Linked DNA regions of Lonchura striata. Each later gene encodes a partner of the first gene's protein in a complex. Links are inferred from orthologs where the notes say so. Each region holds a gene or a part of one and is shown in the gene's direction. Other genes may lie near its edges.

Region 1 (7,876 bases):
GTGGAGGAGATGTGAAAAAAAGCGAAAAAAAAGATATTTCAATTGAAAATATCTGCCTCGGGATGACCTGACTCGGCGTTTTTAGGGTTTGTGATTTTCACTCACGGCCTGGAGGAAATCTGAAAAAAGGTGAAAAAAAAGATATTTCAATTGAAAATATCCGCCTCGGGACAACCCGACTCGGCGTTTTTAGGGTTTGGGATTTTCATGATTTTCGCTCACGGCGTGGAGATCTGAAGAACAAAAAAAAAAAACAAAACAAATCCACCTTGGGATGGCAGGGGGGTTTTCCTGGACTTGGCGTTTTTAGGGTTTGGGATTTTCGCTCACAGCGTGGAGGAGATCTGAAAAAAGCAAAAAAAAAAAATTTAAATTGAAAATATCCGCCTTGGGACGGCGGGGTGGTTTTCCCCGACTCGGCGCTTTTAGGGTTTGGGATTTTCGCTCACGGCCTGGAGGAAATCTGAAGAAAGAAAAAAAAATTTCTAAAAATCCACTTTGGGATGGCTTGTGGGGGTGGGTTTCCCAGACTCGGCATTTTTAGGGTTTTTGATTTTCGCTCGCAGCGTGGAAGAAATCTGAAGAACAAAAAACAAAATCCACCTCGGGATGGCTGTGGGGTTTCCCGGACTCGGTGTTTTTAGGGTTTGTGATTTTTTTTTTTGCTCGTGGCGTGGAGATTTGGAAAAAAAAAAAAAATCAACGTTTTCTCCATCCTGGGACGGCAGGAAAAATTGAATTTCTGGACTTGGAATTTTCGGGTTCTTCGCTTGATTGGAGCCGTTACAAACCCAGCGAGGAGGGGGCGGCGGGGGCTCCAGCACTGCCAGACCCCTCGGGGGTCCCCCCAAATCTGCCGAGCTCCCTCTCCTCGCCCCCTCTGGAATTCTGGAATTCCCCCCGGGCATCCCCCACCTCCTCCCACTCTGCTTCCTCCACCCTTGCTGTTGCTTCCCAGACACTCGTGATCGTGGATCTGTATTTTATTTTCTTTTGTACTTCAATTTTTTTTGTTTTTTTTTTTTTTTGGACCTTTTCTCATTTTTACTCCCCCTTTTTATTCGATTTTTTTTCCAAGTACCGTAGGCAGGCGCCTCTGGCCTGGGTCCGTGGGACTCGTTGGGAATTTAATTTATTTGCGTTTCTTTTGGGTTATTTTTTACCATTTTTCTCCTCCGGTGTCGGTCCCGGCAGATCCGGCGGGAGGCAGGGATTGAAGTGATCAATAAACAGAATTCTGGTTGCTTTATCCCCGCTTTGGGGGCCTCCTCCTGCACCCCAAAACCCTCCCCGTGTCGGGGGGCTCGGTTTTGGGGTAAAAATGGGTGAGTTTGGGGCTGTCCTCCCCATCCTGGGGCATCTGGGGATCGATAAATGTCACTCCAGGGAGGGAATGGGGGTGACGGAGGGTCTGGGGGCTCCGAAGCCCCCCAGATGTGCCCCCCAAAAAGGATGAACTTGTCCCCACCCCTAAAAGAGCTGGGACCAGAGTGGGGTCCCCACTTCTGCTGCCCTTAAAAAGATGAGAGAATAGAGGGGGGTCCCTGCTGCTGTCACCCCAAAAAGAGCTGGGATCGGGTCTGGGGGGTCCCCACTGCTCCCACCCCAAAAAGAGACGAGATTAGGGGGGGTCCGCATTGTTCCCACCCCAAAAAGAGCTGGGACTGGGTCTGGGGGGTCCCCATTGTTCCCACCCCAAAAAGAGCTGAGATTAGGGGGGGTCCCCATTGTTCCCACCCCTAAAAGAGCCGGGACCGGAGTGGGGTCCCCACTTCTGCCCTTAAAAGATCAGAGAATAGAGGGGTGTTCCTGCTGCTGTCACCCCAAAAAGAGCCGGGATTAGAGGGGTTCTCACTGTTTCCAACCCTAAAAGAGCTGGGATTGGGTTTTGGGGGGTTCTTGCTGCTCCCACCCCAAAAAGAGATGGGACTGAGACTGGGGGGTTCCTGCTGCTCCTGACCCTAAAGGAGCTGGGATTAGGGGGGTTCCCATTGTTCCCACCCCAAAAAGAGCTGGGACTGGGTCTTGGGGGGGTTCCCCACTGTTCCCACCCCAAAAAGAGACGAGATTAGGGGGGGTCCCCATTGTTCCCACCCCAAAAAGTTGGGACTGGGTCTGGGGGGTCCCCACTACTCCCACCCCAAAAAGAGCCGGGATTAGGGGGGGTCCCCATTGTTCCCACCCCAAAAAGAACTGAGATTAGGGGGGTCCCCATTGTTCCCACCCCAAAAAGAGCTGAGATTAGGGGGGTCCCCATTGTTCCCACCCCAAAAAGAGCCGGGACTGGGTCTGGGGGGTCCCTGCTGCTCCCACCCCTAAAGGACCCAAAAAGGAACTAATCCTAAAGGATTAGAGGGGGTTCCCCAATGTTCCCACCCCTTAAAGACCCGGTACCGAGGCGTGGGGACTCTCTGATCCTCCCGCCGTTAACGGAGCCGGTACCGGAGGGAGAGCACGTGTTGTTACCGCTGCTGCCGCCGTTAAGGACCGGTAACCGAGCGAGGATCCCTATGGTTACCCCCGTTAGAGGAGCCAGGACCTGTGGGGGGATCGGTGCTGTTGCCGCCGTTACAGGAGCCGGTACCGGGGATTGGGGGATCTGTGTGTTCCTGCCGTTAAAGGAACCGGTACCGGGGATTGGGGGATCTGTGTGTTCCTGCCGTTAAAGGAACCGGTACCGGGGATTGGGGGATCTGTGTGTTCCTGCCGTTAAAGGAACCGGTACCGGGGATTGGGGGATCTGTGTGTTCCTGCCGTTAAAGGAACCGGTACCGGGGATTGGGGGATCTGTGTGTTCCTGCCGTTAAAGGAACCGGTACCGGGGATTGGGGGATCTGTGTGTTCCTGCCGTTAAAGGAACCGGTACCGGGGATTGGGGGATCTGTGTGTTCCTGCCGTTAAAGGAACCGGTACCGGGGATTGGGGGATCGGTGCTGTTCCTGCCGTTAAAGGAGCCGGTACCGGGGATTGGGGGATCGGTGCTGTTGCCGCCGTTAAAGGAGCCGGTACCGGAGGCTGAGGCTGTGTCTTCCCCGCTGTTCCCGCCGTTAGGGGAGCCACTAGGGAGGGCGGAAGGCTCCGTGCCGCTCCCGCCGTTAAAAGAGCCGGTACCGGGGCAGCTGCCACGTGTGTTCGCCGGCAGCAAAAGCGAGCGCGGCGTCACGGACAGGATTCGAACCTGTGCGGGGAAACCCCATTGGATTTCGAGTCCAACGCCTTAACCACTCGGCCACCGTGACTCTGGCGCCTCCGTCCGCCGCGCTCCGCATAGACCCGGGCCCGCCGCCGCTCCCGGCCCGCCCCCGCCCGGTGCCCGGTGCCCGGTGCCCGGTGCTCGGTGCCCGGTGCTCGGTGCCCGGCTTGGTCTCGGTGCCCGGCTTGGTGCTCAATGCCCGGTGCTCGGTGCTCGGTGCTCGGTGCCCGGCTTGGTCTCGGTGCCCAGCTTGGTGCTCAATGCCCGGTGCTCAGTGCTCGGTGCCCGGTGCCTGGCTTGGTGCTTAGTGCCCGGTGCCCGGTGCCTAGTGCCCGGTACCCGGTGCCCGGTGCCCGGCTTGGTGCCTAGTGCCCGGTGCTCAGTGCCCGGTTGTTGGTGCCCGGTGCTCGCTGCCCAGTGCTCGGTGCTCCGCTTGGTACTTAGCGCCCGGTGCTCAGTGGCCGGCTTGGTGCTCGGTGCCTGGTGCTCAATGCCCGGTGCCTGGCTTGGTGCTTAGTGCCCGGTGCCTGGTGCTCGGTGCCCGGTGCTCGGTACCCGGCTTGGTGCTCAGTGCCCGGTGCTCGGAGCCCGGTGCCTGGTGCTCGGTGCCTGATGCTCGGAGCCCGGTGCTCGGTGCCGTCCGGGGGCTCCCTCCGGACGCCCTCCCCCATCCCAGGCTGCTCCAAACCCCGTCCAACCCGGCCTGGAACGCTCCCGGGGCTGTCCCGGGAAATCCATCCCAGCCCTTCCCAGGGCGGAATTTCCTCCCCGAATCCCGTCCGAGCCCGATCTCCTCTCGTTTAAACCCATTTCTCCTTGTCGTGCCTCTCTTGTCGCACCCGCGGGCGGCGGGGCCGGGAACGGCGCCCGGGATCGGAAACAGCGCCCGGCACCGGGAACAGCGCCCGGGACCGGGAACGGCGCCCGAGGGCAGCGGGACCAACAACGGGCGGTGGAGCGGGGGCTCGGGGCCGGAGCAGCGCCCGGGACCGGGAACGGCGCCCGGGACCGGGAACGGCGCCCGGGGGCAGCGGGACCAACAACGGGCGGTGGAGCGGGGGCTCGGGGCCGGGAACGGCGCCCGGGACCGGGAACGGCGCCCGAGGGCAGCGGGACCAGCAGCGGGCGGTGGAGCGGGGGCTCGGGGCCGGGAACGGCGCCCGGGACCGGGAACGGCGCCTGAGGAACAGCGGGAACGGCGGGAACGGGACCAGCAGGAGGCGGTGGCGGGCGCAGCGGGACCGGTGGCGGGCGGTAGAACGGGGGCGGCGGGGCCGGGAATAACGATCGAGGTCGGGAACAACGATCGGGGGTGGCGGTGCGGGAGCGGGACCAGCGACCGGGACCGGAACCACCGGGCGGGAGCGGGACCAGCGACCGGCACCGGCAAGACCGGGCGGGAGAGGCGGAGGCGGCAGTGCCGGAGCGGCACCGCCAGGGGGCGGCAGCGGGGGCGGCGGGAGCGGCAGTGCGGGAACGGGAGGGCACCAAGGCGGGCGGCGGGGATGTAACAGCGACCGGGATCGGGGACAGCGACCGGGAACGGGGACAGCGGGATCGGGGACAGCGGGATCGGGGACAGGGACCGGGATCGGGGACAGGGACCGGGAACGGGGACAGGGACCGGGAACGGGGACAGCGAGCGGCGGGCGCGGCAGTGGCGGCGCGGCGCCGGCAGGGGGCGGCAGCGGCGGGCGCAGGCGGCGGCGCGGCCCGGCCCGCTCAAGATGGCGGTGCGGAAGAAGGACGGCGGCCCCAACGTCAAGTACTACGAGGCCTCGGACACCGTCAGCCAGTTCGACAACGTGCGGCTGTGGCTGGGCAAGAACTACAAGAAGGTAGGTCCGCGGGAACCGCGGGGCCGCCCTCCGGCCCGCCGGGCCCGGCCTGTCACGGCGCCGCCGCCGCCGCCATCGCGCCCCCCCCACCCCGCCCCGCTCCCCTCAGCGGCCGCGGCGGCCGCGCTGAGCCCCGGCCCCGCTGAGCCCCGGCCCCGCAGTACATCCAGGCCGAGCCCCCCACCAACAAGTCGCTGTCGAGCCTGGTGGTGCAGCTGCTGCAGTTCCAGGAGGAGGTGTTCGGGAAGCACGTCAGCAACGCGCCCCTCACCAAGCTGCCGGTGAGAGCCGCGGGGGGACGCGGGGACACCGCGGCCGGGACACGCGGGGAGCGGGGGACGAGGCCCTGAGCAGGGACGGGGCCCCGGAGGTGCGGGCATGGACGCTCGTGGTGCCCGGGTGAAGAGCCCCGGAGAACGGGGGACAAAGCCCAGGCTGGGCAGAACGCCTCAATGAGGTGGGGACAGAGCCCAGGCTGGGGAGAGTGCCTTAAAGATGTGGGGACAGCATCCCTCAGAGCTGGGGACATGGCTCTGGTGAGCAGGGACAGAGCCCAGAGACCTGGGGACGGCACCCCGGTGAGATGGGGAAGAGCCCCGAGGAACAGGGGACAGAGCCCAGGATGGGGAGAACGCCTCAGAAATGTGGGGTCAGCATCCCTCAGAGCTGGGGACATGGCTCTGGTGAGCAGGGACAAGGCTCAGAGCAGGGACAGAGCCCAGAGACCTGGGGACGGCACCCCGGTGAGATGAGGAAGAGTCCCGAAGAAGAGGGCACAAAGCCCAGGTTGGGGAGAGTGCCTTCAAGATGTGGGGACAGCATCCCTCAGAGCGGGGGACATGGCCCTGGTGAGCGGGGACAAGGCTCTGAGCAGGGACAGAGCCCCAAAAGTGCAGGGATGACCCTGGGATGGGGTCCTGGAGGGACCTGGGGGGAGAACCAAAGAAGAGGGGACAAAGCCCAGGTTGGGGAGAACACCTCAGAGATGTGGGGACAGCATCCCTCAGAGCGGGGGACATGGCTCTGGTGAGCGGGGACAGAGCCCAGAGACCTGGGGACGGCTCCCCAGTGAGATGGGGAAGAGCCCCGAGGAACGGGGGACAAAGCCCAGGTTGGGGAGAACGCCTTAAAGATGTGGGGACAGCATCCTTCAGAGCGGGGGACATGGCTCTGGTGAGCGGGGACAGAGCCCAGAGACCTGGGGATGGCACCCCAGTGAGCTGGGGAAGAGCCCCAAAGAAGAGGGCACAAAGCCCAGGTTGGGCAGAACGCCTCAATGAGGTGGGGACAGAGCCCAGGTTGGGGAGAACGCCTCAGAAATGTGGGGACAGCATCCCTCAGAGCTAGGGACATGGCTCTGGTGAGCGGGGACAAGGCTCTGAGCAGGGACAGAGCCCAAAGACCTGGGGACGGCACCCCGGTGAGATGAGGAAGAGTCCCAAAGAATGGGGGACAAAGCCCAGGTTGGGGAGAACGCCTCAGAGATGTGGGGACAGAGCCCAGGTTGGGGAGAGTGCCTTAAAGATGTGGGGACAGCATCCCTCAGAGCGGGGGACATGGCCCTGGTGAGCAGGGACAGAGCCCAGAGACCTGGGGATGGCACCCCGGTGAGCTGGGGAAGAGCCCCGAAGAAGAGGGCACAAAGCCCAGGATGGGGAGAACGCCTCAATGAGGTGGGGACAGAGCCCAGGTTGGAGAGAGTGCCTTAAAGATGTGGAGACAGCATCCCTCAGAGCTGGGGACATGGCCCTGGTGAGCGGGGACAAGGCTCTGAGCAGGGACAGAGCCCCAAAAGTGCAGGGATGACCCTGGGATGGGGTCCTGGAGGAACCCAGGGGGGAGAACCAAAGAAGAGGGGACAGAGCCCAGGTTGGGGAAAGCACCCCAATATCCAGGGAAGGCATCCCAGTACTCAGGATGTCCCCTCAATGCCCAGGGACAGAGCCCTGGTGCCTGGGGACAGGGCCCTGCTGAGCAGGGACAAGACCCTGAGCAGGGACAGAGCCCAAAGCCTCGGGGACAGCACCCCAAAATCGCAGGGACAGAGCCCAAAGACCTGGGGACAGCACCCCAGTGCCCAGGGACAGAGCCCAAAGACCTGGGGACAGCACCCCAAAATCCCAGGGACAGAGCCTTGGGGATTTGGGGACCCAGGGATTTGGGGACCCCAGGGATTTGGGGACCCAGGGATTTTTTGACCCTGATGAGCAGGGACAGTGCCCTCAAGGCCTGGGGACAGACCCCAATGACCCTGGGATGAGGCCCCAGTGCCCCACATGCAGCAACCCAAAAACCTGGGGACAAAGCTGAGTGGGAATGGGGCCCCAGAGCCCCCCAAAAAAGCTCCAAAGAACAGGGGACAAGGCTCTGAGTGGGGACAGCACCCCAATACCCAGGGACAGCATCTGAGTGCTCAGGAACAGAACCCCAGGACTTGGGGACAGCACCCAGGGACAGGGTGACAAGGCCTAAATGGGCACAGCATCCCAAAAATGCAGAAGCAGCACCCCAAACCTTGGGGCAGAGCCCCAGTGAAAAGGGGACAAGGACAATGATGACCAGGGACAGGGTCCTGAGCAGGGACAGTGCCCCAGAGACGGGGACAGCCCTGGGGCCGTGTCCCCAAAGACCTGGGGACACAGCTCTGAGCAGGGACAGCACCCCAATACCTGGGGACACGACCCTGAGCAGGGACAGCACCCAAAGCCTCAGGGACACGGCCCTGGTGACACCGTTCAGCATTTGGTGGCTCGGGGACAGCAGCTGACCATGGACAGCGGCCAGTGACAGTGCCCTGGTCAGGGACATGGCCTGGAGTGCTGGGGACAGTGCCGGGGACCCTGGG
Region 2 (7,821 bases), on another chromosome or scaffold:
CCCTTCCCTTCCCTTCCCTTCCCTTCCCGACAGATTTGAGAAAGAAGTACTGGAAAGGTCTAACAGAGAAAGGAACTTTTGTGTTACAAAATCTAAGTTTCTGTAGGGAAATAAGGCAAAAGGAGCCTCTGGAAATCAGCTGGTTCTCTGTCCTGCCCCAAGACAGAACCCACACCACCTCCATCACTCTGGATAGATGCTTGTCTGACATGTTCTTGAAAGACTTTGGTGATGAGGAGTCCCATCCTTGCTGGACAGACTATCTCAGAACTTCTCTACTGTCACTGCTGTGCTTCTCCTTAATATCTAACATAAATCTTCCTGGGAGAAATTTAAGCCATTATTTCCTGTACTCTGTGTATGGGGAGCAGCTCTTCCCTGTATTTGCAGCAGCCTTTTGGACATCTGATGACTGTTGTTTTCTCTTTATCTTGTTTGGACCTTGCGGCTCTTGTCACACTTTGTGTCCTTTCCTTAACCATCCTGGTTTCCTGGTTTCTCCCACTCTTCCTCTGATGCACAGAGCCCTTGACGGCAAAGGTTGGTCTGGACCAGACACTGACAATTCATACCACGACCGAATTGCTTTGGAAGAGTTCCTCAGCAATTCTGGCAAAATTTAATTTTTCAACCTTAAGGAAATGCTGAGATGGAACAGCTTGTGGCCTGGAGAGCTCAGGGAATGGGGAGGAGGAGGAGGAGGGACGGAATGAGGAGAAATGAAGAATCTGAGTACTGTTGTCAGTGCCTGTGCTGCCACCAAGGGGATGAGAGCAGTGGGGCAGCATTCCTGCAGTTCCCGATCTTCTGGGGGTTTATCTGGTTATTTTGTGACAGGGTAGTAGTACTGTTAGCTCAGTTAGTACATTCAGCTTATGATCTGTCGTATCCCCAGATGTTTTTTTCTGAAAAATAAACATCTCTTCAGCCAGTTGTTCCCCGTCTTTTATTTAGACAGTTGTTGATCTATATCTTTATGTGGAGCCCTGCACTGTTTCTGACTGAAATATCCTGGTTTGAAAAAAACAGGATATATCTCCAAGTCGTCAGGATTTTAATTTTGATAATCTCTTGTAGCAAACTTGTAACCTCTCCAAACTGTATGTTGCTAGGAAATGGAATAAGTATGTTCTCTAAGTACATTATCCATATTGTTAATGAGACTATTGAATAATTCTGAACTCAGGAACAAATGGACATTGCTTTAGATTAAGCAGAGCCACCATCTTGGGATATTTTCTGGTTCTAGCATGTCTTCTCTGCCACATTGCATCAATTCTAAAACTATTGTGAATATTTTAATTTTCAGTGAAAAGAGCAATGCTGACTTAAGTAAAACTTGGATGAGGGAAACCACAGCTGCTTAAGGCAATCAGCACCTTCATGTACTTCTATAATTACCTACTGATCAAAAAATGGCAAGTAGCAGCAAACATACCTCCCTAAAACAACAGCTGCGTTCATCTCTTTTCTAATCAGACCATTTTAGTTTAATACCCTGAAAAGCCCTGAATAGCAGAAGTTAAACCAAACCACACACACAGAGACCAAGTGGGCTCCCAGTGCCCCAGGAAGTACCAGAGAAGGAGATCAGCCTTTCTCTGAAATGAAATGGTCTGGGAATGGGACATGAAGCTGAAAGTGAGTATGAATGAGGCCCCAGTGCATGCTCAGCCTTCAGGAATGAGTGGAGGAGCACAAGCCTTGCACAGAGCCCCATGGCTCAGAGAACTTCTAGGTCAGAGACGGCTGGAAGCCGTCAGGATACTTGCAGCAGTTGGAGATGACTTGGGTTAAATCGGTCACTTTTTAAAAGAACATTGACAACTATTTTCTACACTTTTATGGAAAAAAAAAAGTTGGGAAAATAGAAAACCAAACAATTTAAAATAAAATTATATGCTGTTTCTCTTAATATGGGAAATTAATTATTGCATGGTAACCTTCATCCTTTTGTGCAAATGGCTCACACAGTAGTTTTCCTGGACACTATTGTGAAGGGTTGAAGAATCACAGGAAATGGGTTTCATTCTCAGCTAGGTAATGTTGGGCAAGTCACTTCCATCCACTTGTACCGTATTTTCCATTTGCAAACGTAAGAGCTGCATCTACTGATTTATTTTCTAAAGTGCTTGGAGAACTACCGTCATGCTAAGTAAGAGCTGAATTTTTATTACTACAGGATTTTTAATTTTTTTTTTTTTTTACATTTACTCAGTTGACGGCTGAAGTGGACTGCCCGTGGAATTTGATGTTCAAGGAAAACTGCTTTTGGATGTCTGTTAAGGATATCCAGACAGATTACAATATACATGGTATGGTTTTCAGCTTAAATTAGTAGCACTTCATAGCAAATGTCCTCCTGCTCCAGAAGGTACTCAGTGGCTATTGGCGGAAATCGGGGCAGCTGCGGCTGCACGCCGAATCTGTAGCGAAGGGGGGAAACAAGAAAACCCTGAGATGCGGAGCCGAGCGCATGCTCCGGCCGGAGGACAAAGGGCCGGGCCGGCGAGAACAGCCGGCTGCCGCTCGGTGCCGCTCCTCCGCCGCGGCGCGGGAGGGGTTAAAGCGCTCCCGCCGCGCGGCCCCGGGCGCGGCCCGCGCTGACCTTCACGGGGCCGCGCTGCGCATGCGCGCGCCGCGCCCGGGGCCGCGCCCGGGGCCGCGGTTCTGCTCGCGCGGCTCGGCCCGGCCCGGCCCGGCCCGGCCCCGGGCGGGCAGATTGGCCCGGGCCGGTCCTCGCCCGCCCGCGGCGGGGCCGGGACCGTGGCAGGCGCACGCCCTGCCCGTGCCGGGCGCGCCGTTGCCATTCGGTGCCGATGGTGCTGGCGGCGGAGCGCGGGGGGACGCGAGGGGGGACCGCGCGCCGCGCCGCGCCGCAGCGCGGAGCCGCCGCCGCCCCTTCCCGCGCCGGGCCCGTAAGGACGGCTGCTGCAGGAGTCGGCACGGCCCGTCCTCGGTGCCGTTTCGCGCGGCGCGGGCTCGCACGGCTCCCCGCGAGGGGGAACAGCCGCACGGGCCGGAGCCGGTGCCCCCCGCGGCCGGGACTGCTGGGACCGCCGGCCGGTGCGGCACCGACAGCTAGTGCAGGAAAATGCACGGTGTCTGCCGGGCGCGGGAGGGGGCTCACATGATGGGAGCCAGCATTCCTGTGTGAGCCTGGGGTCTAAAAAGCATGGCAGATACCAGCTTCATGCTTGCCTTGCCAGTCACCTTGGCATGCAGAATTTAGAGTCCTTTAGGTTGGAAAAAGCCCTCCAGATCAAGTTAGCCTGACATGAACACGTCCACCAGACATGCAGCAGTTGGTTCCAGATTATATCTGCCTTTCTTTAGTTCAGCGAGAATTTAAGGAATTTTTCCAGCACAAAACAAGGCAAGGCTATGTTGATTTGCTTGGTGTATTCCTTCTGAGGGGCTTAGAGGAGCTGATAAGCATGCTCACCCTCGCTAAATTTCTGTGATTCCTAGGGCGGTTGCTATACACTAGCACTTAGATTGGGGTGGCCCTAAAAATCAGTGGAGGTCACTGTCCTCGTCCCCATGTTCAGAAGGCCATGTGACCTTCATGGCTTGCCCTTCGCTGCTAGTCAATGCAGTGTCTTTTCTGTGCTTGTTTTTATTATTGTATGAGGGCAGAATAATTTTTATTTTTCTGATCTGATTCTGTCGTTTGCAGTCTTGACAGAAAATTCACAGCCCCTAGACAAGAATTTAAAGCAGAGGAATAGAATAAGCCCCTCTTGTAACCTGGCAACATCTGGCCTATTGCTGTGTTAAGGGAGAGCAGGGAACATCGGCCCTTGTGAGCTGCCGGGAGCAGATGGGTGCCCCGGGCCATCGCTGCAGGCTCGGCCATCATGGAGCAGCCAGACTCGGCTTGTGGAATGGCCGCCGTGCTGCCAGCGCCACCTCGCCCCAGGGCCACCGAGGGGCTGGGCTGCTGCTCTCTTCTCTCTTCCCCCTTGGGCTTCATGTTCCCAGCAGTGTCGTGGCATCTCACACACTGTCGTGCAGGGCTTTGTTTGACAAGCAGTGAACTGCTGATGTTTTAGAGCAGCTGTGGTGTTAATAATTTGTCTGCGCCTGTCAGTCACCTGGGGTCTCTAGAGGATCCGTCGCAGTGGTGCCAGACCATCCCGGGAGTGGTCAGTGGGGAGAGGTGGTGCGAGTGGGGGCTGGAAACAAGCCGTGGGAGCTTTGCCGCCATGCTGCCCCCCACCCCTTCCTCCACTGATCTCACACACTTTCCCTTCGCTTCCACATGTCCCTCCCTGTTCCCAGCTCCGGCCTCCCGCTGCTTCTCTCTTGTCCAGAGGGGTTAGCTCTCGTCTCTCATGCTGGAAATGCTGCCAGCGAATGTTTCTGTGTGCTGCCTGCCAGGTCCCTGGGGAAAGGGCCTGGAAATGCAGTGCGGGAGGAGCAGTGGGAGCAAGGGAAAACCACTGTTCGCTGCTGCATTTTCTAATGGGAAAACATCTCTGCGAAGTGCTGAGCTCTGTGTCACTGCTGAAGTTGCCCCCTCCCCCTTCCCCTTGCCCCAGAATTTCCCATCCCTGATGCAGAGGAGGAGAGGCTGCAGCACTACCAGGGAAAACCGAGACGTATTTTTCAATTTGCCTCCTGCTTATCTCTGCTGTTTGGACAGAGAGGTTTAAAAAGCTGGATTTTCTGTCCCTGCAGAGTAAACAGACAGAGCCCGGCAGCACAAACTATTTCTGGCTTATCAGTGGAGGAATGCAGCAGCTGAGGCTGAGCGCGAGTGGGCCGTCAGGAAGGCCCTGAAGGGGCCCCCTCCCCACTCCGTGCTATTAGAAGTGTGAGAGCCCAGCAGGACTCAGAGGGGAGAGTTGGAGAAAAAGGCAGAAAAGGGAAAGAAAGAGGAAGAGAGAGAGTGAGAGAGGCTGAGCAGACCCTGATGGCTACAGATGAAGTTACAGGAGGGGCTCGCAAAGCTACGAAAAGCAAACTTTTTGAGTTTCTGGTCCATGGGGTGGTGAGTCGGGAAAGTTAGTGAGCTGGCTGGCTCTGAATAGAGGGATGAGTGGAAACTGGAGGTTCTGTGCTGGGCTGGATCGGCTCCTGCAGTGTGCTCCTGGGGCGCTGGTAGCTGCCTCACCAGGAGAATGCTGGGGTCTGTGGAACCCCCAGCCTATGCACTGATTCATTGTTAATACAGCTTGTGTCTGGGGGGATGTGTGCTGTGCTTTTTGCTGTGATTCTCCATGAATGGTGAATAGCATGCTTTTCAGCCTGATCATGGTGCAGAATCTGCACTGGATCTAACCCGTATTGGCTTGTAGGACACTTTGTTCTGTAATCAAACTTGCATTTTGAAAAACAATTCTGATGAGAGCCTGATGAAGCCTTGGGGTGCTGCCTTTGGTTCTTGTCTCCAGTCTTGGCTCATTTGTATCCTCTGGCTACTTAACAGGTGACTTTCAGGGGCTTGAAGAGATTAGCTCTGCAGGTCTGTAACAGTCTATGGAAACTCACCCACGAGAGAATGTCAGGGTGCCATGCTTAATTAAAGCAATCCTTCAGGTCTTTACAAATGTTCCAGCTTTTGTTAAATAATCAGGTCTTTGATCTCCATTTAAGGGGAAATGCTCACCCTGTTTTACTGCGACTGGAAACGTTCTTTAAATGACTCTAGTGTCTGAGAGCAGTCACCACTTATAACATTTGGATTTCTAGCATTGGTACACATTGAAGAGAAATAAGGCTGTTAAAAAGCCCAAAGGAATGTGATATTTGGATGCTGATATTCCCAAGTGCTTCTTTCTTGAGGATCCTGGCACCGCCTGTGGCACCTTTCTGAAGACATCAGGTGGAGGCTCTTGTACAGAGATCATAGAAACCTGTGGGGTTCAAGGCAGACTGTTGAGTTGTCTCCATGATAGGCCTACTCCAGATGGTAGGATCTTGTGTGTGTTCTTTAGATCCTGGATATGGTGGCACAGGCAGGGCCAAGGACTCTGAGGTAGCCTTCTGTGTTGGTGGGAGCTGTGAAGTGGTGGTGTGGTGCCAGTGCACAGGAGCAGGCTGGGCGAGATTGGCAGCTGCTCGGGGGTGACGGAGAGCGGGTGTGCAGTGGTAGCAGTGCTTTAGTTGTGGACATGTGGGTTTGTCAAGGTGGTCTGGATTGTGAGGCTGTATCTGAGCAGAACCAGAAGCACAAGTTGGAAGGATAGCAGATGGGATGATTTTGCCTTTTCCAAAGTTTCCCTTGGCATTTGCACACCAGTGCTCTTCCTTTAGTATCAAGAAGAGCGGCAAAAATAGTTATGTGAATTTGTTTATTCCACATCTAGCTGGCCTTTGTGTGAAAGCAGCATGCAGGGCTCTTAAGCCTGGGAGATTTTTAATTTATACTGGAATGAATATAGCAGAACTCATTTCCGTTACTTATTTGGATGCCAGGAAAGTCTGCCTTTTCTACCCTGGAACTTTTGTTGCTAGTGGCATCTTACTTGAACATATACATTAGCCTGGAATATCTATATATATATATCTCCTGCTTCTGTTCCTGAGGCTGGGGCTTCTTGGCTGTTGTTCTGGTGCCTGAACACTTCTTGTATCACCCTCTCTTTTCCTTCATTATCATCTCCTTTAGTTCTGCTTTGGTGCCTGGTTTGTTCTTTCCTTTAGTTTTTTCCTCATCTCAGGTTCATTTCAGTCAAAACATGGGTTGGGGTAGTCACTCTTCCATGACTTAAAAAAGATGAAAAAAAAGCTATAACTTTGTTTTATCTCTCCAGGCCCTGTATCCTGCCAAATAAGAGAATGTGCCATGCGAGCCATTACCTTGACTTTGCCTAGCACTGGCTCCTCTGTTTTATTACTATCAAAGTGTGTCAACGGCTGAATTAATTAATTGAAAAATCAAGTTGCATAGCAGACTTTAGTGGAATTTCTTGGAGTCAGACTCTGCTCTAATTTCAGGGACCAATCTCTTCTTCAAATGACTGATTTTTTTATTCTGTCGATGATAACATTATTTAACTTGGTTATTGAAAATTATTTTCTCTCCCCCCTCAAAAAATGGGGAGAAGTGAACAGAGGTAGAATGTTGTGAGAAATCTTTTTTTGCTTTGTTGACACTTAAATTAACAGGATATTTCCTGCAGTATTTCCTATGGGCGCTTAGCTCTTGGATTCACTTGATCTTTCTGGAAACATATATTCCTTTGCTAAGGTCACTTTGCCCTTTGCTCTTGTGCACCTGATCCTGCTTTTGTGCTTTTCCATACTGCCAGCTTAGATGATGTCTTCTTCCTCCTTTGTCCCAGGCAGAAGGGATCCCCCTGAAAGGTGAAGTCTTTCAAAGGTTGAAACTCTCAAGTGGGATGCTTCATTCTCTCCTGCTTGTGACCTTGATAGTTTGTTACACCTCTGGTTAGCAGTTGGGCTTTTAGAATGGTTACCTATCTTTCAGATATTTATTTTTACTATGCTTTTACTTCTTTTAGTTTTGTCAGTGTTTTGCGCATCATTTTTGTGGGAAGAATTTTTTTTCCCCCCAAAGATTTCATGCTGTACTTAGTCCTTTGTTGTTGTTCCTCTCTCTTTCTAGCTTTTGTATGGACAAATAGGCTTTAATCACCACATTTATGATGATTTTCTTTTTATCAGTGCATTTTCTGCTCTCCAGTAGTACATTTCAGGCAGTCCTTATGACATTGCTCTAGGTGTCCAGCTGTTACCTTGTATTTTGTTGAACAAGTTACTAGTCTTGCTGCAAGTCATTCCTTTCCTTGGTTGCCTCTATCCTCCAATCCCTACCATAGGCCTCATTGCTGGCTGGATTCCTTAAAGGGA
Region 3 (8,013 bases), on another chromosome or scaffold:
AAGGAGTAAAAGAGCAAATGAAGTTGGGTAACAGTGAGGACAGAGTAAGAGAAAAGCTGTTTTTCTCACTCATGTGGGAGTAAACATTAGAAAGCAAAAAGCCTGCTTCATCAACAAACTCATCTGCCACTCAACCAGACTTGTGGGTGTACAGAGACAGTGTAGGTGCACATTTTGGGGACTGGGAATGGGGCTGGGCCCAGCCTCATCCCCAGTGTCACAGCTGTGAGCAGCAGGTGAGCAGCACTGGCAGCAATGAGCCAGGGAGTGCCCAGGTGCTCTGAGCAACCACCAAAGGGAACAGAGGGCACACAGGGGCACTGCAGGAACATGAGGGGATAAAAGGCTGGGCTGAAGAACAAGAAGGGGAGATGCTTGCAGCCTTCTGAAGAGGTGTTACTCTGCATGGGGTGAAGCTTTTTGTTATTGTATGCTGGTACTCTACATGTTGTAGCTGTCTCAAATGTGACATGTGCTGCAATGGGACAGCACACTGGTCTATGAAAACCCTTCTCAAATAACTGAAAGGCAATTAGGCTTAGGTTAATTTGCTTGAAACTAGAGTGAAATCAGAGTTGGATCTGAGGTCTTCACTGTAACCTAGGCAATACAGAGGCAGTATCATCATTTTTCACTCTCTGTGTGCTGATAGGTCTTAAAAGCAATGCTGTTTACTCTGGCTGTCAGGATCGTGGCATGCTGTTCTGTCTTCTGTTTGTAAGGATGAAGGCTCACACTTGGCATTGCCACTTTGTATGGTTAGGGAAAGCAGTTCAAAACCTATCAGAATTAGCTACAGCAAAATGAACTTTCATTATTTGGCCTAGGAAACCTAAAGAGAAGTCTGATGCAGTGAGAGACGTAGAAGAAAGATGGATCTCACCTGCTGCTTACTGCAGTGATTTATGATGGCATTTACTCCTTCAAGCACATCTGCTGAGTCTGATCCTTCAGGGTCTATGATACTTCTCAAGGCCAGAGTGAGGGCACTGTTAGAAGGATCTGCAATTATACTTGGACTGTCCAGCATCTTTGTCTGCTTATCAAGGTGCACAATTTGCATGGACCTGTTCAGAGAAAAATGCACTGTGAGCAGATAATCAGTGAAGGACTGGTAATGGTGAGGGATGCAAGACACAAAGCTCAGTGTTGGATTGAATGTACTTCATAAAGTCAGTTTCAATGTTTTGTCATCATGTGCTTTGCGTAGGATAGAAATTTAAACAAACAAAACAAACAAAATTTAAACAAACAAAACAACCTTCAAGCAAAAGCATACATATTCCACAATATAGAATGCTTTGCAAAACATCAAGTTTATACACTATCCCCTGGAGAAAGCTTGCATCACACATACCAATACCTTTCATCTTGCAAATTTTAATGTGCATTTAAAACTGCACACTGGGTGTGCTTTGTCCCTAATGGACTAAAACACAAACTCATGGTAACTGAAACACAACAAACAAGGAAAGGAACAGCTTTTATCAGACTGAGCTTACTTGGTAACACCTCTTGTCAGGCCAACATTACAAGCACGCTTTCCTTTGAGACTGTTGATTATGCTGCTCTTTCCCACATTAGGGAAACCTGAGGAAAAATCACATAAATCCTTTTAAGTTAATAAGAAAACAGCTTTTTAACACCAATCAAAACAGCTTCTTCCAGGTAGCTTTGCTAACGTAAGCATCAGTGTGAGATCAGAGTTGGATCTGAAGTCTTCACTACAGAAGTAAGACAAAGAATGTATCCTCATTTCTCACACTTGTAGGATTTGTGGTGCTATACTCCATGGGATTTTTGTCAGGCATGGGGAAGGCAGGGCCAGTGGAGCACATATCCTGCCTTCTTTGTTCTCCCACAGATCCCCGTGCTGCACATGGCAGTGCACCATGGATCCCTGGCAGCTGAAGCACTACAACACTGAGAGTCTTGGAGCAAAGAACAGTGACTAGAAAGCTCATTAGCAAACCAGGTGTCAGCAGTTTTACCCAGTCCAGGAATACAGGATCCCAAAGCTTTATAGGAGAAAGAAACTCCTCCTGTTTCTCCAAACACTTACCTACAACCCCAACCTGAATGGCTTTGTCTTGGGTCTTGCCATACCCTTGAAGAAGCTTCAAAAGGCATTTGCTTCCAAAATACTGAGTGGTTTCTGCGAAATCAACACGTGCATGTCTTTTTGTGACCTGTTCCTGCTACCAGATTCAAAGGCAAAAAAAAGCCCATGGTCAGGAGCTATTAAGGAAGATAAAATATGGATACTTAGATTTATTAATCTACTGTAATTTCCGTGCTAAGAATTCTCCCACTGTATTGCAAAGCTCAATTGAAGTGTAAAGGCACATCCATCAACCAAAAAGTGCAACCAAACCAGGGAGAAAGGAATTTTAAAGATGTTCCAACATGTATGACTGCAAACACATGAACTTTTCGTGGGACAGCCTGCAGTGCTCTTACCATAGTCTTGTCCTTCATAATTGTTGCTGACTTAAAAGCAACTGTTGGAAACTCCTTCTTCAAATAATTCAACCATTTCTCTATGTTGTTCTTTGGCACCAAATCTGGAAAGAAGAGCAGTTCTTTCACTCCTTAAATTAATCCTATCATGACAAATACCATTTGGCTGAGAACTCTAATATGAAGTACTGGATACCTTCCCCAAAGGCACACAGAGTCTCTCTTTCTGCCTTAGCAGAACATATCACAATTACATTTCTGGCCTCTGTATTAGGCTTTTAATGCTGGGCTCTGGCTAGAAGACTTTGCATGGTACAGAATGATCTGTGAAAGATTCTGACTTCTACCACAGAGTTCCCTTTGCTCTTCTTGTTGCTCTTGGTATTTTGTTTTCTTTAATTAGCTACTGGTACTGGGTAATTTCCAGCCTTTGTAGTGAGCTCAGAGTTGGATCTCATGTCTTCAATGGAATCTCAGATTCCTTTAAAATCTTCATAGCTCACCCACCACAGAAACACAGTGCCAGTAACACTTTGAGAAAACCTGTGTTTCTTACCAATTTTGTTCAGAACCAAGAGCAGCTTTTTGTTCCCTCCAGAGGAAGTGACAGCTTGCTCCAGCTGAGGACACCTGCAGCCCATTGGATCTCTGGCATCCAAAACCTCCAGAACTACATCTGAGGCCTCAAGCACCTGGGTCAGAAAAAAGACAGGAATCCAACAAGACATCACAGACCAGATTACAATTCTGCTATAGCTGTGGCTTACAAAAATAGTTAACATTTTCTGTTGTAAAATCCCATCAGTGTTCTAGTTTATCACAGACAAACTTTGTGCTCTAAACAGTAATACAAAAAAAGCAAAATAACAAGTGATCTTATTGCTGACTCTTTAGTGATATAAAATATCTATATATCTATATCTAATGATAAAAAAAATAGTTAAAGCATTTCACCTTCATAAGCTCCCTGCAGAATGATTTCTTAGAATTTTTATTCAGTGGTTTTTTAGTCTTTCCTTTAGATTTGCCAGGGGAGTCCTAAAGCAAATAAAAACAAAAGGAAATTATTTAAATGAGAATTAGTGTCTACTACTTGTGTGCATATTCAGCATGAAAATGTAAACTGCTGCTTAAGAAGGTGCAGTTTCAGGATGACTTCTCCAGGTTCAAGGAATCAAAATCATACAGGACCCCTACCTTTCCCTCTGCTTTCTCCTTGATTGTGACTGCATTCTTTTTAGCTTCCAGCTTCCTCTTCTTTTCATGTTCTTTCTGTCTATTGAGCTTCTGCTTTTGTTTCAGTTCTTCAAGCTGATCACAAACAAAAACCCAGGGCAGATAAAACATCTTCGAAGGTGCTAAGGAAGAATGTTCTTTCTCCCCATTCCTGACCCAAGCTCCTGAGCCAGCTCAGTTAGAAGTCCTGGCTGTCCAAGTAACTCTGGGAACTCTTTTTTTGCATCCTACCCAGAGGCAGCCATGCATTTGCTTGATCCCAGAACAGCAGCGCTGCAGCCACCACTACAGCTGACAAATGCCACATTAGTGCACACTGCAGACAGCAGATCCCGATTTTCTGTGTAATCACATAATGCCATGATTTAACTCCCAGCACTCTGATGGGACATTTCTGTATCCCAGCACCACAGGGAATTCTGACTGCATTAGAAAAGACACTTCCAGCATGCTCCCATCCCAGTGAGGAAACGAAGGTTAAAAATAAAAGAGCAAATCAATGCACACGGTACGGTGCTGGAAATAAATACATCATTTTTCCAAAGCACGAGTTTGCTGGGACCATCTACCATGACTGCTCCTCTGAGTGCACACAAAGCTTCCTTACAGAAGGGGATGCTCTCAGTTCTTGTTCTCTTTACCGAAAACTGTGTTTTACCCTCTGCTTTCTTTGCTCCGCTTCCCGCAGCAGCTCTTCCTTAAACGGCGCAGCACTGGGAATTCCGGGGTCTTTCTTGGGCTTCTTGTGGCCGCGTTTCTTGGCCTCCTTGCGGACTTTCCGGTGGTGTTCTCTTATCTGAGGGAAGCACAAGAAATGAGGGCAGGCACAAGAAACGTTCTCACTCTGAGGCCCAAAACTTCAGCGCAGCGGCCCCAAAATCGCCGAACGCGGCGCGGGGGCCGCGCTGGGCCGGGCCTCACCTTCTTCTGGATCTTGTAGCGCTTGTGGCAGCTCAGCCTCTTGCTCGCCTTCCGCAGCTCTGCAACGCACCGCGCCCGTCAGCGCCGCAAACATCCCCCGGCCCCGACTCCCGCCTCCTCCACCGCTGCCGCTCGCTCGGCCACGGGCGGCCGCCGCCCCCCGGTGCCGGGCCGCCGCCCGCGCCCTCCCCGTGCCGTTCCCGCCCGCTCGGTGCCCGTGCCCGTGCCCGTCCCGGAGCCGCTCCCGGCGCTCACTCGGCCGCTTCATGGCGCCGCCACGTGCTCCCGCCGGCGGGCGCTGCCGTAAAGCGCGCCGGCGCTGCCCCGCCGGGGTGTCGCGCGGGCTCGGCGCGTTGGGCGGCCGGGCGCGCTTTGCGGCAGCGGCGGCGGCGGCACCGGCGGTGTCGGACGGGCGGTACCGGCGGGACGGGCCGGGCCGGGCGGACCCCGCGCACCCACCCCGGGTCGGCCGCGGCTGCGGGAGGCGGAGCGGAGCCGGCGGGGTGAGCGGCGCGGGCGGGGCGCGGGCCGGAGCTTGGAGGCCGCTGCCTCCCTTTGTGTGGCGGCGCCGCCCGAGCGCGCAGCGGCCCCGGCGCGCCGGGCCCGGGGCACCGAGCGCCGCCGGCCCCCGTCACCTGCCCGGGCCCGGGTGCGCCTCAGCCCCTCCTCCCCGCCCCGCTCCCGCCGTGTTCCCGTGCCGGCGCCGCCCGGGCCCGCGCGCTGAGCGCGGCGGGTCGTGCCCCGCGGGGCGGGCCCGGGACCCCGTCCTGGCCGCCCGGTGCCGGGAAAGGCTTTTCTTTGTTTCCTGCCGGGGATAGCGCCTCACCTCCCGGGCAGGGCTCCGGCGCCTCGGGCAGTTCCGGATTTGCTGCCTTTGTTCCTTGTCCCGGTGCCGGTAAAACGATGGATGTGTTGTCCCTCTCGCTTTCCCGTCAGCTTTGCCCTGTTACCGTGCCTGGCTGCTGCCAGCCCCCTCTTCCCATCCCGTAGCAGCTTTCAATGGGATCGGTAACCGGGGGAAATTCCGGCTTTTCCCTCCCCTGTTCCCTTTGCGTTTCCCTCCCCTGTTCCCTTTGCTAAATTTACCGTGTTTCGTGTTTCTGGTGAAACGTGGGAGATCCTGATAGCAATAAGTACTACCCGTGGTATCTGTTGGCTTTTCGCTTTCCTCTGCCTGGAGGCAGAAAATGAACCTCTAGTGTGTTAGAACGTTTTATTTTAAGTGTGTTATGTCCGACGAGTGTAAAACCTGTGGGTGTAGGGAGGTTGGAGTGGGTGACACTTGTTGTGGTCCTTCCCTACAGCTTTTGGGAGGGACAGCCTTCCTTCCTTCCCCCCGTTGTGTATATCAGTATACATGTGAATTAGTAATGGCCAAAGCCTTTCTTGCTGTGGTTTTGTGACATTTTTATGGCTGGTGGGGGCAATTACCGAGGAGATGCTCAAGCTGCTGTTGAATTGGAGGTGGTCAGTGGTAGCAGTGGAGATTCTTGGTGTGACTGTTGAGAGACCTGTGAGCCAGCAGTGCAATTGCAGAAGAAACTCAGGGAGAGAGGTTCTTCAGCAAAGCTGTGTTTCTGTGCACAGCTGAGTTCTCTGTGCTTAGGAGTGTGGCAGTTTAGGAAGAAGTTTGTGTTTTGGAGCCTCACCTTCAGTGAGTGGTACATCAGCAGGTCTCTCCCTGAGTGTTTGTGATGTTGTCCAGACTGATGCATGTTTTACAGGGTTATTAGAGGAGAAAAACGTGTTTTGGAGGCTGTGTGAGTGGTGAGGGTACCTTGATCACAGCAGTGTCAGAGTATGGCTGAGATCCACAGCATTGTGCCCCGGACAGTACACATGGAGCAGCTGATGTACAGTCTGCAGGCAGTTCTGGTTGGGAGCTTCCCAGATCTTTATTTCAGGATGGGACTGGTCTGAGTGTACTCTTGGGTTCCTGGTTGAAGCAGAATTATTGATTCTGGTAGTCCCTCCTGCCTTTCCTCCACAACCAAGGGCTTGTGTTTCCCAGCACCTGCCTGGTGGAGCCACTCCAGACTGTAGCCCTCAGATGGAAGTTGGAGGCTGTGCCAAGGCTTGAGGCTGTTGTCAGTTCCCAAAATGAATTGCCTGCTGATAAACCACAGAGCTTCTCTGCATGTTCATGTTACGAGAATGTTCAGAGTGCTGAACTGTAAAAGAACCTCTCTGGGGTTTGATTGAAGGCAGGAGTTGGAAGAACTACGCAGAAGCAAACATTTTGCTATTAAATGGTTCTGTGTATTTCACATGGAATTTCTGTGAAAAAAATAAGGCTTGGAGGCTTAGAAATTGAAACTTTTTTTTTTTTTTTAGCGTATGGCTGCATACTTACTGCTTACTTCTGAGTATAAAAGTCTACTCTGAAGAATTTTGGAGGTGCATCATCTTAGAGTTTAATAAATGCTTGTTGACCTTAAGATTATGTTCTTATAAGCACTGTACTGCTTTGCATTCTGTAAGTTTTACAGCTTTCTGGTTTGTACTCTCAGGTCAGGTATCACTTCTGTTTACTTTCTGCTCTTGATGAATCATTCTCTAGCAAGTGGCGGTGAAATCTGTAATGCATATTCAGGAACATGAGAGAAATGTATTTTTACTGTGACAATGACAGAAGTGTCTAGCATTCTGTGTACAGAATTACTTTGTAGAGTTTCTGCTGGGCTATAAAAAGTTGCCTTCTGTTTCTTGCTTTTTTTCTCTGTCACTGTAATTATCCACTTTATTCTTTGATTTTATTCTTTATCTACCTAGTCTGAATTTTCTTCTCTCTCTCTTTGCTTTTTCTTGTCTTCCAGTTGTGGCTGTACTAACACCATTACTGGTTTGCCACTCTTAGAGTGTCCCCTTCTCGCAGTATCTGTGCTTGCCCATCAGACACTATGAGGAGATTGGCTTTTCGAGGTGCTGGTTCTACTCTGGTAAATCTGGTAAATTATTGATTGTATCTCCATCCCTCTGCCTTGGCCTTTTGCTTTTCTTTTTCCTAGCTGTTAATTATTCCTACCTTACTCATCTCATGTGTGTGCCTGAAGTTGTCTCTAAGAGAAATGCTTTAATGCAGTTACCTCGTGCTGCCATACCTTGTCAACCATCTGAGTGCCTCCTGAAAGAAATCCCTGGATTTGGTTGGAAAATGGGGATGGGCTGGGATAGATGCATCTGTTCTGTGCTCAGCCTTTGAGATAGCCACAAATAAAGATACGTTTCTGATGCTGTCACTGGAAGTTGGGAAAGAGCCAATAACTTGTTCCATAAATTACCATAGTTGTTGGATGGTGGTTATTCATTTGTCACTGCTTGTGTTGGTAAATGCAAAACTATGGCCAGAAGAGGAGGGAGCTTTTTCTGTTTCTCCATGGTTGAGCCATTCATCCC
Region 4 (7,189 bases), on another chromosome or scaffold:
GGCACCCCAAAAATATCCCAAAAAATCCAGGTGAGACACCCCAAAAATATCCCAAAAATCCAGGTGAGATACCCCGAAAATATCCCCAAAATTTAACCCTAAAATTCCCCAAATTTAACTCCTTAAATCCCCCAAATTCCCCCAAAATTTAACCCCAAAATCCCCCAAATTTAACCCCTTAAGTCCCACAATATACCCCAAATTTAAGTCCAAAACACCCCAAAAATCCCCCAAAATCCCCAAATTTACCACCAAAATCCCCCAAAACTTAACCCCAAAATTAACCCCACATCCCCAAAATTTCCCCCAAAATTGAATCCTAAAATATCCCAAAATCCCCCTAATTCCCCCAAAATTTTACCCCCAAATTCCCCAAAATCCTCCAAATTTAACCCCTAAAATTCCTCAGATATCCCCAAATTTAACCCCAAAATCCCCAAAATTTAACCCCAAAATTAACCCCAAATCCCCCAAATTTCCCCCCCAAACTAACCCCTAAATCCCCAAAATTTAACCCCAAAATCCCAGAAATTCCCCCAAAATTTAACCCCTAAATTAACCCCAAATCCCCCAAAATTTAACCCCAAAATTAATCCCAATTTCCCCAAATTTCCCCAAAATTTAACCCCAAAATTAATCCCAAATCCCCCAAATTTCCCCCAAAAACTAACCCCAAATTCCCCCAAAATTTAACCCCAAAATTTCCCAAAATCCCCCAAATTTAACCCCTTAAGTCCCCCAAAATCCCCCAAATTTCCCCCGAAATCCCCCAAATCTCCCCAAATTTAACTCCTTAAATCCCCCAAATTCCCCCAAAAGTTAACCTCAAAATATCCCAAAATCCCCAAAATTTAACCCCAAAATTCCCCCAAATTTAACCCCAAAATCCTCCAAAATACCCAAAATTTAACCCCAAAATCCCCCAAATCTCCCCCAAACTTTAACCCTAAAATCCCCCAAATTCCCCAAATCTCCCCCAAAATTTAACCCCAAAATCCCTCGAATTTCCCCCAAATTTAACCCCAAAATTTCCCAAAATCCCCCGAATTTCCCCTAAAATTTACCCCCCAAATTTCCCCCAAAATTTACCCCCAAATTTTCCCAAAATCCCCTGAATTTCCCCAAAATTCCCCAAAATATCCCGCATTCCCCCAAAATTTAACCCCAAAATTTCCCAAAAATCCCCTGAATTTCCCCCAAAATTTACCCCCAAATTTTCCCCAAATCCCCTGAATTTCCACCAAAATTTAACCCCAAAATCCTCCAAATTTCCCCCAAATTCAACCCCAAAATTTCCCAAAATCACCCGAATTTCCCCTAAAATTTACCCCCCAAATTTCCCAAAATCCCCAAAATTTCCCCCAAAATTAACCCCCAGATTTTCCCCAAATCCCCCGAATTTCCACCAAAATTTAACCCCAAAATCCTCCAAATTTCCCCCAAATTCAACCCCAAAATTTCCCAAAATCCCCCAAATTTCCCCCAAATTCAACCCCAAAATTTCCCAAAATCCCCCAAATTTCCCCGAAATTTAACCCCAAAATTTCCCAAAAATACCCTGAATTTCCCCCAAAATTTACCTCCAAATTTTCCCCAAATCCCCCGAATTTCCCCCAAAATTTAACCCCAAAATCCTCCAAATTTCCCCCAAAACTTAACCCCAAAATTTCCCAAAATCCCCCAAATTCCCCCCAAAATTTACCCCCCAAATTTCCCAATTTCCCCCAGATTTAACCCTTTCCTTCCCTTCCAGGACCAGGTGCCTCTGCCAGACCCGCCGCAATTTTGGGGGGGGGGTCCCCAAACCCCAAATTTTGGGTCCAAATCCGCGGCTTTTGGGCAAAAACAAAAATCCCCCAAAACCCCCTCGGGCTCTGGGGGGGGTCCCCAAATTCTTTTGGGGGGTCCCCGATTTTTCATGCGGTTTTTGGGGGGGTGCCCAAAATTTGGGGACCTCCCCCAGTTTTATAACTTTTTTTTTGCCTTTTTTTGCCTTTTTTTTACCTTTTTTCCCCTTTTTTTGCCTTTTTTTTCATTTTTTTACTTTTTTTCCCCCTTTTTTTGCCTTTTTTTTGGCATTTTTTACCTTTTTCCCCCTTTTCTTTCCCCTTTTTTTTCCTTTTTTTTCTTAATTTTTTTCCTTAATTTTTTCCTTTTTTTGCCTTTTTACCCCCTTTTTTTCCTTTTTCTTACCTTTTTTTTTGCCCTTTTTTTCCCATTTTTTGCCTTTTTTCCCCCCTTTTTCCCCCCTTTTTTTTCCCTTTTTTTAACCTTTTTTTGCCTTTTTTTTGCCTTTTTTTTGTCCCTTTTTTTTCCTTAATTTTTTTTCCTTTATTCCCTTTTTTTTTTTTTCCATTTTTTAACCTTTTTTTGCCTTTTTTTGTCCCTTTTTTTCCCTTAATTTTTTTCCGGTTTTTTGCCTTTTTTTGCCTTTTTTTTGCTTTTCTTTCCTTTATTTTTTTCCTTTTTTTACTTTTCTCGCCTTTTTCTTCCCCCCCTTTTTTTTACCTTTTTTTTCCCTTTTTTGTCTTTTTTCCCTTTTTTTCCTTTTTCTTCCCCCTTTTTCCCCCCTTTTTTTTTCCCGATTTTTTGCAGGGTTTTTTTCCTTTTTTCCCCCTTTTTTTTGCCTTTTTTCCCCCTTTTCCCCCCTTTTTTTCCGCCCATTTTTTGTGGTGTTTTTTCCTTTTTTTTCAGTTTTTTCCCTTTTTTTCCCTTTTTTCCCCCTTTTTATCCCCCTTTTTTTGCCTTTTTTTACCATTTCTTTCCCTTCCCCCCCCTTTTTTTTCCATTATTTTTTCTTTTTTTTCCTTTTTTTCCCCTTTATTTTTCCCCTTTTTTGGCCTTTTTTTTCCTTTTTCCCCCTTTTTTGCTTTTTTTTTTTTTTGGGGATTCCCCCAAATTTTTTTTGGGGGGTGTGGTGGTCGCCCCTCCCCCAATTTTTTCTCCATCCCCCCAAATTGGGGGGGTCTTTTTTCCCATTTTTTCCCATTTTTTCCTCATTTTCCACTTTTTATTTATTTGCACTAAATTTGGGGAGGGGGGGAGGGAATTTTGGGGAGGGGGGAAAAATTGGGGAACCCCCCCCCCAAAAAAATCCCAAAAACTCCCCAAAACTCCCGGGAATTTTGGGGATTTCCCCCAGAACCGAAGTGTGAAAAATGTGAAATAAAAAATTTACGTTTTCAGCTTTTTGGGGCATTTTTGGGGTGATTTGGGGGGATTTTGAGGGGATTTTGGGGGGATTTTGGGGAGATTTTGGGGGGATTTTGGGGGGGTTTGGGGGGATTTTGGGGTAATTTGGGAGATTTTGGGGGATTTGGGGGGATTTTTGGGGATTTTTTGGGGAAATTTGGGGGGATTTTGGGGGGATTTGGGGTTTTTCGGGAGTCTCTGAGAGGATTTGGGGAGATTTTTGGGGGAAATTTGGAGAATTTGGGGGATTTTGGCGGATTTGGGGGATTTTGAGTGGATTTTGGGGATATTTCCAGGGGATTTTGGGGGATTTTGGGGAGGATTTGGGGGATTTTGGGATTTTTGGGGAGGATTTGGGGTGGATTCCGCGGGCTTTGGGAGGATTTGGGGTGGATTTTGGTGCGATTTTGAGGGATTTTGGGATTTCTGGGGAGGACTTGGGGGATTTTGATGGATTTTTGGGGAGGATTTTGGGGATTTTGGGGGGATTTTGGTGAGAATTTGGGGAATTTGGGGTGGATTTTGGGGAGGATTTGAGGGATTTTGATGGATTTTGGGGGGATTTGGATGGATTTTGGGGAGGATTTGGGGGATTTGGATGGATTTTGGGGGGATTTGGATGGATTTTGGGGGGATTTGGATGGATTTTGGGGAGGATTTGGAGGATTTTGATGGAATTTTGGGCGATTTTGGGGCTCCCTGCCCCCCCTCCCCCCCTTAGCACTGACAGGAGGGAGCCCCGCCCTTAGCCCCGCCCCTTTGCGGTGATTGACAGCTCCCCCAGCCAACCAGCGGCGCGCGGGGCACGCCGGGAGTTGTAGTCCCGCCGCCCCGCCGCCATTGCCCCCCTCCCCTCCCCCCCGCCCGGTACCGGCGGGCACCGGCAGCGCGGGGCGGGGGGGGAGGGGCGGGGCGGGCGGGGGTCCCGCGGGCTCGGCGGCGGCCCCGGGGGGGCAGCGGGGGAGGGGAGGGGGGGCCGAGCCCCGCCGCCCCCTCCCCGAGCGCGGAGCGGCCCCGGCGGCGCAAAATGGCCACGGCTCTGCACAAGCCCCTCAAATGGTGAGCGCGGCTCCGGGGCACCGGCACCGGCACCGGCACCGCCCCGGCACCGGCACCGCCGCCCGGCGCCGCCCCGGCACCGCCCCGGCACCGGGCTGGGCCCCCCCCACCCCCAGCCCGCACCGGCACGGCGGCGGCGGGGGCGGGGTGGGACCCCCGGTACCGGGGCTGGGAGGGGATGGGGGCTCGGTACCGGGAGGGGATGGGGGCTCCGGTACCGGCACCGGCAGGGGATGGAGGCTCCGGTACTGGCAACGGGAGGGGATGGAGGCTCCGGTACTGGCAACGGGAGGGGATGGGGGCTCGGTACCGGCAGGGGATGGGGGCTCGGTACCGGCAGGGGATGGGGGCTCGGTACCGGCACCGGCAGGGGATGGAGGATCCCGTACCGGTACCGGCAGGGGATGGGAGCCCTGGTACCGGGGCTGGGAGGGGATGGGGGCTCGGTACCGGCACCGGCAGGGGATGGGGGTTCGGTACCGGGAGGGGATGGGGGCTCGGTACCGGGAGGGGATGGAGGCTCGGTACCGGGAGGGGATGGAGGCTCCGGTACTGGCAACGGGAGAGGATGGGGGCTCCGGTATCGGCACCGGGAGGAGATGGAGGATCCCGTACCGGCACCGGCAGGGGATGAAGGATCCCGTACCGGCACCGGCAGGGGATGGAGACTCCCGGTACCGGCACTGGCAGGGGATGGAGACTCCCGGTACCGGCACCCGGAGGGGATGGGGGCTCCGGTAACGGTGATTGGAGGGAATGGGTGACCACCAGTACCGGCACCGGGAGGAGATGGGGGCTCCGGTACCGGCACCGGCAGGGGATGGAGGCTCCGGTACTGGCAACGGGAGGAGATGGGGGTTCGGTACCGGGAGGAGATGGGGGTTCGGTACCGGGAGGAGATGGGGCTCCGGTAACGGGACCGGGAGGGGATGGGGCTCCGGTAACGGTGATGGGAGGGGATGGAGGCTCCGCTACCGGCACCGGGAGGGGATGGGGGTTCGGCACCGGCAGGGGATGGGGGTTCGGTACCAGTACCGGAAGGAGATGGGGGTTCGGTACCGGCACCGGGAGGGGATGGGGGTTCGGCACCGGCAGGGGATGGGGGTTCGGTACCGGCAGGGGATGGGGGTTCGGTACCAGTACCGGAAGGAGATGGGGGTTCGGTACCGGCACCGGCAGGGGATGGGGGTTCGGTACCGGCACCGGCAGGGGATGGGGGTTCGGTACCGGGAGGGGATGGGGGTTTGGTACCGGTGCTGGGAGGGGATGGAAATCCCCGGTACCGGCACCGGGAGGGGATGGAGGTTTGGGGTTTGGGCCCGGTACCGGCGGGGTTGGACCCGGTTCGGGCGGGGATGGAGGTGCCGGTACCGGCGGGGTTGGACCCGGTTCGGGCGGGGGATGGAGGTGCCGGTACCGGCGGGGTTGGACCCGGTTCGGGCGGGGATGGAGGTGCCGGTACCGGCGGGGGATGGAGGCTCCAGGATGGAGCTCCCGGTAGCGGCGGGAGGGACTCGGTGGGGATGGAAACCCCCGGTACCGGCTGGGAGGAGGACCCGGTACCGGTGGGGAGGAGGACCCGGTACCGGTGGGGAGGAGGACCCGGTACCGGCTGGGATGGGGACCCGGTACCGGCTGGGATGGGGACCCGGTACCGGCTGGGATGGGGACCCGGTACCGGTGGGGAGGAGGACCCGGTACCGGCTGGGATGGGGATCCGGTACTGGGATGGGGACCCGGTACCGGCTGGGATGGGGATCTGGTACCGGCTGGGATGGGGATCCAGTACTGGGATGGGGACCCGGTACCGGCTGGGATGGGTATCTGGTACCGGGATGGGGATCTGGTACTGCCAAGATGGGGATCCGGTACCGGGATGGGGATCCGGTACCGGCGGGGTCCCAGTCCCAATTCTGGTCCTAATCCCGGTCCCGGTCCTGGTCCCAGTCCCGGCCACAGTCCCAATCCCATCCCAGTTCCGGTTCTGATCCCGGTTCTGATCCCAATCCCTATCCCAGTCCCAGTCCCGGTTCTGATCCCGGTTCTGGTCCCGGTTCTGATCCCAATCCCTATCCCAGTCCCAGTCCCAGTTCTGATCCCGGTTCTGGTCCCGGTTCTGGTCCCAATCCCTGTCCCAGTCCCAGTCCCGGTTCTGATCCCAATCCCTATCCCAGTCCCAGTCCCGGTTCTGATCCCGGTTCTGGTCCCGGTTCTGGTCCCAATCCCTGTCCCAGTCCCAGTCCCGGTTCTGATCCCGGTTCTGGTCCCGGTTCTGATCCCAATCCCTATCCCAGTCCCAGTTCGGATCCCTGTCCCAGTCCCGGTTCAGATCCCGGTTTTAATCCCGGCCCAGTCCCGGTTCTGATCCCAATCCCTGTCCTGGTCCCAGTCCCGGTTCAGATCCCGGTTCTGATCCCGGTTCTGATCCCAATCCCTATCCCAGTCCCAGTCCCGGTTCTGATCACGGTTCTGGTCCCGGTTCTGATCCCAATCCCTGTCCCAGTCCTGGTTCAGATCCCGGTTCTGATCCCGGCCCAGCCCCGGTTCTGATCCCAAGCCCTATCCCAGTCCTGGTTCAGATCCCGGTTCTGATCCCGGTTCTGATCCCGGTTCTGATCCCAAGCCCTATCCCAGTCCTGGTCCCAGTCCCGGTTCTGATCCCGGCCCAGTCCCGGTTCTGATCCCAATCCTAGTCCCGATCCTAACCCCTTCCTGGTGCAGGTTCTGATCCTGGTTCCAGTCCCAGGTCTGATTCCATCCCGGTGCCGGTTCTGATCCGGTCCCGGTGCCGGTTCTGATCCGGTCCCGGCGCCGGTTCTGATCCGGTCCCGGCGCCGGTTCTGATCCGGTCCCGGTGCCGGTTCTGATCCGGTCCCGGTGCCGGTTCTGATCCGGTCCCGGTGCCGGTGCCAATGCTGGTCCCTGTCCCAGTTGGGTC

Evidence for each region.
Region 2: SMARCC2 (region 1) and SMARCD3 share a complex: the UniProt entries of both Homo sapiens proteins name them as parts of the BAF complex. The link is inferred for Lonchura striata from reciprocal best matches to the Homo sapiens genes SMARCC2 and SMARCD3.
Region 3: SMARCC2 (region 1) and PBRM1 share a complex: the UniProt entries of both Homo sapiens proteins name them as parts of the SWI/SNF-B (PBAF) chromatin remodeling complex. The link is inferred for Lonchura striata from reciprocal best matches to the Homo sapiens genes SMARCC2 and PBRM1.
Region 4: SMARCC2 (region 1) and zinc finger protein neuro-d4 share a complex: the UniProt entries of both Homo sapiens proteins name them as parts of the neuron-specific chromatin remodeling complex. The link is inferred for Lonchura striata from reciprocal best matches to the Homo sapiens genes SMARCC2 and DPF1.

What each region holds. Positions count from the first base shown.
Region 1 is NC_134629.1:5,444,169-5,452,044, reverse strand, and holds the start of SMARCC2 (SWI/SNF complex subunit SMARCC2), read left to right. Parts: upstream 1-4,872; 5' UTR 4,873-4,920; coding exon 4,921-5,031; intron 5,032-5,192; coding exon 5,193-5,312; intron 5,313-7,876. UniProt on the Homo sapiens protein: Involved in transcriptional activation and repression of select genes by chromatin remodeling (alteration of DNA-nucleosome topology).
Region 2 is NC_134603.1:157,074,577-157,082,397, forward strand, and holds the start of SMARCD3 (SWI/SNF-related matrix-associated actin-dependent regulator of chromatin subfamily D member 3), read left to right. Parts: upstream 1-4,815; 5' UTR 4,816-4,918; coding exon 4,919-4,996; intron 4,997-7,821. UniProt on the Homo sapiens protein: Involved in transcriptional activation and repression of select genes by chromatin remodeling (alteration of DNA-nucleosome topology).
Region 3 is NC_134614.1:9,331,050-9,339,062, forward strand, and holds the start of PBRM1 (protein polybromo-1), read left to right. Parts: upstream 1-5,006; 5' UTR 5,007-5,120; intron 5,121-7,433; 5' UTR 7,434-7,517; coding exon 7,518-7,565; intron 7,566-8,013. Other genes in the region: GNL3 (guanine nucleotide-binding protein-like 3), read right to left, coding at 884-1,067, 1,503-1,590, 2,063-2,198, 2,461-2,564, 3,017-3,152, 3,415-3,498, 3,658-3,771, 4,355-4,492 and 2 more. UniProt on the Homo sapiens protein: Involved in transcriptional activation and repression of select genes by chromatin remodeling (alteration of DNA-nucleosome topology). Required for the stability of the SWI/SNF chromatin remodeling complex SWI/SNF-B (PBAF).
Region 4 is NC_134633.1:4,835,297-4,842,485, reverse strand, and holds the start of zinc finger protein neuro-d4, read left to right. Parts: upstream 1-4,179; 5' UTR 4,180-4,219; coding exon 4,220-4,251; intron 4,252-7,189. UniProt on the Homo sapiens protein: May have an important role in developing neurons by participating in regulation of cell survival, possibly as a neurospecific transcription factor. Belongs to the neuron-specific chromatin remodeling complex (nBAF complex).